Schizosaccharomyces pombe: one gene and its partner. The protein of the gene in region 1 interacts with the protein of each later gene in a pairwise test. Each region holds a gene or a part of one and is shown on either strand. Other genes may lie near its edges.

The links.
Region 2: the proteins of fta1 (region 1) and cnp3 interact in a two-hybrid assay, tested with the Schizosaccharomyces pombe proteins (one study listed by BioGRID).

Annotation. Positions count from the first base shown.
Region 1 is NC_003424.3:4,853,093-4,857,718, reverse strand, and holds fta1 (kinetochore protein fta1), read right to left. Parts: upstream 2,326-4,626; 5' UTR 2,177-2,325; coding exon 1,334-2,176; 3' UTR 1,113-1,333; downstream 1-1,112. Other genes in the region: mpd2 (GYF domain protein), read left to right, coding at 1-846; mitotic septin Spn1, read right to left, coding at 3,142-3,774, 3,820-4,416, 4,454-4,626. UniProt on the Schizosaccharomyces pombe protein: Component of the kinetochore, a multiprotein complex that assembles on centromeric DNA and attaches chromosomes to spindle microtubules, mediating chromosome segregation and sister chromatid segregation during meiosis and mitosis.
Region 2 is NC_003423.3:4,125,500-4,131,217, forward strand, and holds cnp3 (centromere protein), read right to left. Parts: upstream 3,168-5,718; 5' UTR 3,070-3,167; coding exon 2,993-3,069; exon of another isoform or gene 2,913-2,992; coding exon 2,605-2,912; intron 2,498-2,604; coding exon 1,070-2,497; intron 990-1,069; coding exon 871-989; 3' UTR 819-870; downstream 1-818. Other genes in the region: F-box protein Pof12, read right to left, coding at 1-82; mrpl44 (mitochondrial 54S ribosomal protein mL53), read left to right, coding at 384-573, 647-759.

The DNA of each region.
Region 1 (4,626 bases):
GTTTCACAAACTTCCACAAATGCCAAAGCTTCCACACCAGCTCTTGCTTCAGGCTCCATTTGGGGAAGCCCGTCTGTAATAAATGCGTGGGCCAACAAGCCAGCTGCTCTCAAGTCTCCGTTGATAAAGAAAAATATTCAGCAAGCTGAGCTTGCCCAAAACAAACAGCAATCTTCCGTTACTACTGCCAGTCCTCGTTCTAATGCATTAAATGCTAACACTCCAAAGGCAGCTGCCCCTTCTAGTAATGTTACAATGAAAAATGTAACATCTATATTAGAAACCTCTACGTTCGAAGGCGAGGATACATGGTCTGTAGTTGGACCTGGTGGGAAAATCGTTAATCAGCAATCTCCTTCTGCTCAACAAACGACTCGTTCTCCCTCTAAAGTTTCGGCTACATTAAATGCTGGTAATTCTCAAGCATCTACTTCATCAAAATTACAACAAGTTGTGTCAATGTCGGGTCATTCGCCGGACTTTTTAGCATGGTGCAAGATTTCTTTGAAAGGTTTGAATGAAGGTGTTAATTACGAAGAATTTCTCGATATGTTACTTTCTTTGCCAGCTGAAAATAATGTTGAAACTTTTGAGATTATCTCGGATTCCATTTATGCTAATAGTACTATTATGGATGGACGTCGCTTTGCTAGTGAGTTTACTCGCCGTCGTATAGCCGATTTAACTGGCAAAGATGGGCAACAATCTAACAATAAGTCTCAATCAGAGTTGGGTAACTCTAGTGGTGCTTGGAGTCAGGTTGTTCGTAACAAGCCAAAGCAAGGTACTGAATGGAATTCGGCGTTTAAAGTGGTTACTAGTAAAAAAAACAAAAAGCGGGTATAATTTGAATCTTTTGAGTTGATGTTTTGTGATCTTGCATGGATACAATAAAAATCGGTTTCGGTTGTATAATATTGGAGTGCTAAAAATTTTAAGTTAATAATCCATATTTCAAATATATATAATATTTGTACATTTGTTGAACTTGTATTGTTAAGCTGGTGAACGAACAATGTAGAGGTTATAAGTGTTCTTGACCAGTTCTTACTAAACCGATTTTGTAGTACACAAATTTATTATGGAGGATACTGTAGTTAACTATTATGTAATTTTAAAAAAAAAATACTACCAAAATATTATTATTCTAGTTTAACATAATTTTAACTTAATGGTATTTTTAGTGCTAAATATAAATATAACGGCAAACTGATCAGTCAATTTGCATTCACGTATTTAGGAGCAAGTGTATCATTTCTTTGACATAAATGTAAAGCTGGCATGAAGGAAAGAGGCTCAACGCATAGTGACAAACTTAAACCCTTATAATTCATTAATACTCGGGCAATTGCATGGGCTCAAGGGCTAACAAAACATCAAATACAATATTTTGAGCTTTAGAAAAGATTTTCAGCTTGCCGGACGATGTTAGAATGGCACAATCAGTGTTCACTTTGGAAAGTGAGAATACTGAGTTTGTCAAATCTAAAGAAGTACACCTTTTGATATGTTCCATAAGAATTGGGTAGAAAAATGAGGAGCTACGGAAAATTTTTTTTAAATCTTCAGGTCTTATGGAAATTGTGACTGATGAAAGATTAGGATTTCCGGTTGTCCAGGTCAACTCAAGCGGGAGGGCTGTTTGACTATTTACATGATTTTGCCAAATTTTCAAAAACTCTAAAAGTATTTCTGGAGCAATTAGGCATGGTAAAATTTGTGTATCAAATTCCTGCTGGAGGAACTGCTCAACGGCCATCCATAGCGCCCCATCCATACGAACAAGAGCTAATGAAAAGAATACAGAATTCCCTTCAAGCGATAAACGTGTTCTGTCAGCCTCCGCGTGGGAGAACTTCCGAAATGACTCGAAGAAAAACATCTGGCCTTTGCGTTTCACCTCTAAATCACTAGACGTCTCATACGAAATATCCAGCTTTAAAAATTTAGGGAAACTAGATGTGTTTCCGAACTCCGTAAACGTAGCTTTCTCAATTATCAAGTCAGCAAACCTAGTACTATTTGTAAAGTAACCAGTACGATCAGTACCATAGCGAAGAAATCTCGTAAGCTTTTTACCTATTTCAGTCAAGTTTGAATATTCAAACCCAAACAAAGGAGACAATCGATATGCGGTGTATGTTACATTATAAAAATGGTGATCCCTTAAAGTCATAGTCAGCCTGAGCTAACACTTCAAAACGCTCTAATGATTTTGTTTCTGCTAGCGATTTTTGGGATCATTAATTAAAGTACTTAAAAAAACGTTATGAGTTATTAACTACATTGACCTTCATCAAATTAATGAAATATGTAGAGGTTGCTACCTTTTTTACTAATCGCTATGTATCATTATATAAGTCACCGTTCAAATAATAATAAAGAAACTTGAGTATCAACATTTTTTACAATTAAAGATACTGGTGGCATATATGTAAATATAAATTTCATTTATTTACTAATACTTACAAAGAAAGAGAAGCTCATAATGATCCTTCAAATATTTCAAATTGGCCAAGTAACTTTGTTCTAATACCCCGCTAAATTTATCGTTCGAAATAAACATTTTGTACAGTGGTAAATAGTATTCAAGCAAGTAAACGTATTTAGCATCAAACCGATCTTTGTATTGAATGACTTACAACAAATCTCATATTTACTATTCTATAACACCGAGAAGGTATCAATTGCAACAGTGTTTTTCGTTTAACCGAACAAAAATTATGCAAAAACTAAAGTCTAAAAACGACGTCGCAAGCAAATCTCTTCTAATAATATATGCATCAAAATTTTTTCGACTCTTTCAACTGAAATCTAGCTGTCTAAATACCCCCACTGACTGGAAAATAGATATTTTTCGATAGATTGAAAAATACACTGGCAATAAAAGAAGCAAACTCCCACTTTAACGGGTTGAATAGAGATAAGCCGGCTGTTTCAATTTGTTTGTTCAAGCAAAATGTCAATTAGTGAACCTCCTAAAAAAGAAAATTTCGATAAAAATTAACGACTCCATATGGTAGAATAATCAAGGAAAGATATACAGCCCAATATTGGACTTTAAGTAGTAATTAAATAACAAAGAAGGAGATAGCAGTAGAACTGCGGTGTCATACAAATAAATATCAGCTAGTAAGGAGACTATTTAAAAAACTTCCTTTTACTCTTCTCATTTTCGGCCGCAGCTTTAGCTTGCATTAACCGATTTTTGTGATCAATTAAGTCAGCTTTTTGCTTCTCCAATGCTGCCTTCATTTCGCGATGACGGGTACGTAACTCGTTTTCAGATTGTTTAAGACGATCTTCTTTTTCTTGAACCTTCTGAGAAAAAATGGTTTTCATTTCTGCTTCCATTTTCATCAATTTCTCTTCGTGTAAGGCACGCTCCTCTTCGAGTTTAGCACTAGGGTTGACTTCACGAAAAACGGAGTGATCTTGTGATATTCCGCTGCTAAGCAACCGTTCAGTACGATACGCTTCATACAGCTTATTTGTCTGTTCTTTGAGTTCTTCTAAGTGTGTTCGAATAAGCATTTCACGAAGCTTAGGGAAATCAGAATGCTCTTCATTATCGACTTCAACAACGCCCCATGGGTACCGCCTCCCGCGGACGCGCTTTCCTTCATTGTTGACCACGAATGTATTAGAAGCAATTATAGCAAAAGGTATTCTACTCATGATGTCTGCATTTTCTGCCACTGATTCAGGATCATCGGTCTCATATGTCGGAGGGAAGAAAATTCTGATATTGTGGTATTGGATATCTCTCAAAATCTATCATTTTTTCATTAGCAACTTTAAATCAAGATTAGGGCTTACCATTTCCTTCGTAAAGTTAAGTTCATCATCCGTTAGTGTATCGGCTTTCGCAATGATGGGTATAATATTTACTTTCTCGTGCAAAGCCAACATAACTCGAAGCTCCATAGCACTTATAGCATGACCAGTAGGCTGAATAAAAAATATACAAGCATGAACTCTTGGATCTTGAATAGTAGATCGAGGATTGTGCTTTTCAAGCTCAAGATATTGATCATAGCGACCCTCGATATCTGTCAAAACTGGTTGCCAACAATCGGTGTTGTCAATAAAATCGCCAAAACCGGGTGTATCAATTACATTTAATTGAAGACTGATACCATTTTCCACTATTTCAACTGCAGAAGAGTTGATCATAACAGTGGGTTCTGGGTTCACTCCAAAATCCCCAGTTAAAGATTTCTGGGTCGGTGGGTAAACATCTCTATTCAATAGCGTATTCACAAGTGTAGATTTCCCTGAACCGCTTTCCCCTAATACTAATACGTTGAAATTAAAACCTTGACGAACACAACGACGATGCCATTGATTAGGAAGACTAGCGAATCCAACGTATCCGTTCAACTGACGCTGGATTATACTAACGTGCGGATTGAACTAAATATTAGTAAAGGAATTTTAAATAATTGATTACCTCTTGTTCAGAATTATCCTGAATGGGTTTTTCTTCATTCTTGTTTTCTGAAATGGCTGCCTCAACATTTATTTGCGTTACATTATCTGTAGATGTGAAAGAATCAACGTCGGAACCCCTGCTTCTAGTGGAATCATCTTTAACTGTAGGCATACCATCCGCGAGTACCATTG
Region 2 (5,718 bases), on another chromosome or scaffold:
CAGACAAATCATTAAGAACGTGAAGGAGGGTTTCATGGCTGAAAATCGACGCAGGGTTTTTAGCCTTCACATCGGTAGTCATGTTGGATAAAATCAAAATTGCAATTGTTCATGAAAAAATATTTCACAAGCGGAAACCGAGGTTCTATATAAAATTGGAATGACAAATTGTATTATAGAGACATACTAGTTTCGTTTGTATCTCCAAGTTGACTTAGTTGTTGTAGGAAGTGAGACTATCAGGGTAACGGTCACCTAGCTTACCAAATGTCATTTCGTTTACAAAACTTACCACCATTTAATGTATTTAAAATATCTACACATAAAGATCTCTTTTAATTACATTCCTTGACGACTTTACTCTCCAGTTAAAATTTTTAATCATGATATTTGGGTACATTAATAAATTGTCAATTTTGAATGTGAACCCGTTTTCCAAAGCTAGTCAATCTGCGAAACTTTTGCTAGCAGTTGCCAGTAAAGAAACCAGCAACTCTCTTTATGGACTTAATCTCATTACCAGTCTTGCATCAAAGGATACCAATTCAAAACCATCTGTTGAAGTTGTATACAGTAAGGCTTTTAAGTAGCTAGATGGTTTAACTGCGACCGTTAGATTTGACTTTTGCTAATAATTATTATTTAGAGGATGGAAAAAAGTTGACTGTTGATCCGACAAAAATGAATATTGGTAGGCTAACTGAATTAATTGACGATTACAGTAAAACGCTTAAATTTAAGGAAATGATGCAAAAATAAGTTTAGAAAAAATGACTTTATTAATATGATTAAATTGATAACAGATAATTAAATTACATAACGACTAAATGACTTTTGTACATCGAAATCCATAACACACTATTAGTATTGTCATCGTTCGTTTGGAAAATCCCCTATTCCCCTTCTTTTATTTTCCAAGGTGTCGGTCGCATGGGTATAATAAAGTCGAACAGCTTCTTTGCCGATATTTTTTATGCTGTAATAATTCCCTAAAGCAATGTTAGTCAAAACACATTCTCGGTGTATAATTCCTGTTTGAATTTTTAGAAATGTGTATATTTAAACTTACCCCTTGGAACAATAAATACTCCATCTTTTTTCATTCGAAAAGTGGTTGCATTTACTGTGACCTCGATCTTTCCCTGTAGTATACAAAAAGACATTATGTTGTGTTTCGAAGGCTTCACTGGTTTTTCTGCTCCTGCTGGCATTTCAACGACGCCAGCAGCAAAAGATGGCTCCTCCTTGAACAAGCTGGCAAATTTTAGTTGTTGATTAGAGATTTGCTGGAGATTTACAGAAGGCAATGAATAGCCGACTACTCGTTCTTCAGAGGCTTTTGGGTTTTGTTCATTCCAAGATAGAACTTCACAGTTTATTTCGTCTTTGTAAAAAGCATCATATTCTTCAACATCATTCGATTTTGCTTCCAAGTTACTTTTTATTTCAACTCCTGAGCGCTTTGCATGCCTTTTCTTGCGACCTTGACGAATTGAAGGTGATGGATCGTCAACTCGGATTATCTGCTTTACTTCCGGTAGTGCTGGAATTCGATTTTCATCTCTATGTAATTCATATACAACACGCTCATTCTTCCAAAATGCTAGTGGTGCTATTCGTGTACGTTTCGACCTTCGGACACCAACTAGTGTATCTTCACGTTCGACCTGTTTAATTTCCTGTAAATTATTTCGAGCAATTGTTTTAATAAATTCTCCAGAAGCTGAATCTGATTGTGAATTCAATGAGTCATCCTTCTCGTTGGACATCTTCTTCGCGTTTCTAATTGCAGGTTTCTTTGCGCCTTTAACTTGTGTAGCCTCACTAGTTTGAACAGAATTGCCGATTTCTAATTTGTTCTTACGAGGTCGACCACGTTTTCTCTTGACTACTGGATTTGACTCCCCTTCTTTAACAGAATTTATGCTTGATTCTTGTAAAGGTTTATTAGGTGTTCTTTTCTTATTCTTTTGAGAATTGTTTGCTAGGCTTCGATTAAGCATAGAAAGCGGGACATCGATAGAAAGTTCGGAATCTTCATCTCTAGAATTTGGTTTGTTGCCCTGGGATATTGTTTTCTTTTCCTCTTTTTGCTTATTCTGTTTAGAAGGCTTAATCGTCTGTTCTGACTTATTATTTTGAACATAACTTCTACGGGGTTTTGAAATGGTTTGTATATAAAGATTATCGCGACCACCACTATCCTTGATACTAGTAAAATTCGCTACATTTTTTTGTAAAGCAGTAATATTTTCATCGGGGAATGCAGGCGATTCTTGAACGTTATCATCCTTGGGCGTAGAGGATGGTATTTTGGAAGGAAGTTCGGTACTTCTTCGAGGTTCGAATTTTTTTCTATCTGGAGATGCTTTTATCCTAGAAAAATCGACAATTCGATTTGCTTTTCTTGGCTGAATTGATAATTTGTTGCCATCGACTTTCGTCTTATCAGCGGTTCCTTCATCTTCCGCTTGAAAAGCTGAGTGATCTATAGGTACTGTATGTATAATTAGTAATTTTATCAATGAAATGAAACGGAAAGTAACAGTAGAGTATTTGAGGAGTTGTAAAATAAAAATCTGTGATGCGTAGATAGAACCTTACCAATTAAAGGACCAGACGAACCACGGCTAGCCCGAAGAGCTCTCGAATTCATCAACAATGGTGAAGAAGGAATATCCGGGTTTTTATCACTAGAGTCAGAAGATGAGGCATGAGAAGCTTCATCAGAAGCAGCATTGACTGCCATTGGAGACGTAGGTTGAAGTCTTGTTACTGGCGGCATATCCTGCTCAATGTCTCCATTATCTTCGTCCAAATGGATGGAACCGTCGGAAAGAAAATAAGCATCCATATCCTCGAATCCATCATCGCCTTTTTTAACGTCTCTGGGAACTGTGAATCCTGTTTTTCTAGATAAAAATATTTTTTAGTAAATTTATTAAAAAAAGAATAATTATTACGATATATGGAACCCAATTCGCGAACGTACCTGCCTACGACACCAATTTCAAAAAACTGATTCTCTCGTTGTCTTGCCGGAATAGCAGACGTTTCATTCATCGTCATTATTCTATTAAATAAACATTAAGTAAAAATATAGCCTAAATAGCCAAACAAAACAATATATGGGGACGTAAGTGTTGTCTTTCTTGTTTACGTGTAGTACAGGATGTACATTATGTGTCATGGAATAAGCCTATCAATCAGACCCATGCGAAAAGGCAAGGTGTATTCATTTTTGCTTCCAGTATAACTAACCAATACATATAAACTTAATTGCCTAAGCGCTTTTCTGTTTTTCTGAATGCATTTTATAGTTATATAATGTTAGGCAAACAAATACGAAATTGCGTTGGAAATGAAACTTACTAGTGCTGACAGCGTAGATTACGGTAAACAGAAACAAACATGCCTCCTTAGAATGAAGGTCAGAAAGGGAATTCCAGAGAAGAAATGAACCCTACCTAGAAGCATATTAAGTAGCCGCTACCAAGGGATGAACCCAAATAGTGGAAAAGACGGATTGAGCAATTGACATTCAAAAAAACGGCCTACCGCAATAACAATTTAAGAGATTAAAAATAGATTTATCATTTTTTATAATTTTTTTATTTTTGGGATTTCTTCTGGCTTGGCCATCCAATTGATGATTGTTTATTAACTTACGATTATATTAGTGCTAAACCACCATTATTTATTACAGTCGGTGTTATTAAGCGTATTGCTGACGAGATTTTTTTTCTTGTATGAATCCAAATTTGCGATGCTACGCCTTGACTGTTTTCTTTTTTTCACCATAGTATGTGAAAATTTTCTGATGCCGAAATCTCAGCAATGGTGAAATTTTGCCAAAAAAGGGGTCAATTGATCTTGAATAGGGCTGAAAAAAAAATTCAAAAGTAAATAAAATTAAATATATTTATTTACAAAAAGTTAAGTCGGTTTGGTTTTTCGCTTCTCTTTTTACAAAATTTTTTATTATTTTATTATTTATTTATTAATTTTATATCTAGCAGATCAATATTTAGCAAGCCACCCCGTACAATAATTAAAATAGCTCTTTTCATGACATAGTAAGAAGACTAAAGTGCGAAACATGTTCAATTAACGCCAAGAAAATGCTTCCGTTTACGCCTCCTTCAACCATACCCGAATTTTTTACTCAAAATTTATGTACGTACTTTTGGCTGTATTACAAGAATCCATAGCTAACCTCTGTAAAAGGATATCACCTTATACACAAAGGCTAGGTTATCCTGCTACCACTATAAAGAAAATGAAAGTTCCCATAATGAAGTCTGTATTTTGAATGTATATTGTCACTTTATTTCGCCTACAACCTTCACGCGAACTCAGCAAAAAAGGGAAAACCCTATTTTACAGCGGCTTCAAATCAGGTCCTTATTAGTGCGACCAATTGGCCTTTCTTCCTTAAAATGGCGATTGCCGTTTAAGGAATATCACTAGAAGCCGTTAGCAGCTATTATTTAAATTGGTAGTTTCAACAAGTAAATCGAAGAAGGCATATCTCTTTATACTTTGAGTGGCAACTCAAGAAATTGTTAAAATTAGCTGTTAAAAATTTGCCATAAATATAGAGAGTGAATGTCGTTTTGTTTACTAACAGTAGTACTCATGTACTCTAATCTAAATAGCTGTTTATTTCCAAAAAAAATAGTTTTATAGCTTATTATTCGTAATAATTAGTATTCAACCTTAGATTTGTAATATGCGCTCCGTTGCAAATGCAAAAAGATACTATTAGAGAAGAGCCGATTTTTTAAATTCTCGATGCCGCTGGATCATTTCCACTGTCTGTCTCATTATTTATTCTGTTTTTTTATATGATTCGATTTTATTTGTCTTTTTCATTTATAGCATTGGTCGATTGAAATCAAAATTTGCATTTTTTGTATTCCATTCGGGTTGCCGCCAATGTGTGCCCCTAGTGTGTGCCCCTAGTGTGTCAGGTAAATAACAGCAGTCGAGACAGCGCAATAACCATTGCTTTACAGAAATGAGTAGTAAATCTGTAATAATCTTTGAACTCTTGATTGAAACATTTTTAATTTATTGCCTCTATTTTTTAATGCAATCCCGTTCCATCTTTCCTCTAGCAATTTCTCGATCTATCCAAAAGATATAGGGAGATTGAAGGTGTCCTAATGTGCGATTACGTATCCCTCATCGGTAAACGGCGCACGACTCCGTTTACCGACAGTCGTTAAGTACCTTGATTCAGCGAGTGCTACGGTAACAACGGGTTAAAGGTATCATCTTGTTATCTGAGTCGGATGGCCCAAGGTATCACAATATATGAAGGAAAAAGAGTACTTTATTCGCGTTTCCCATTTTCTACTCTATCTTCCATTCCAATATATAAATTGGACTTTTGCTCGTGTGCAAGTTTTTCGCGCTTTTTATTTATCGTTTGTAAATTAGATTTAAGAGGTTTCGCCTCTTTGGAAATATCTTTCTTTGCCATCCTTCTTTTGAAAAATCGCGAAATTGTATGACCGTGCAATTTTCTTTTTCTCGAAAAGCTAAACGCCAAGGTAATAGGTTTTCGTGAGAGAAACTCTTCCAATTCTTAATTTCAATTGTGAATACAACCGATTGTTGGAGGGTTTACAATTTTTTCCGAAAATTTCTCGACACCCTTGCTATACGTGCCATATAGCTTAGGGACACCATTCTTATTTTCTTTCTTAAAGA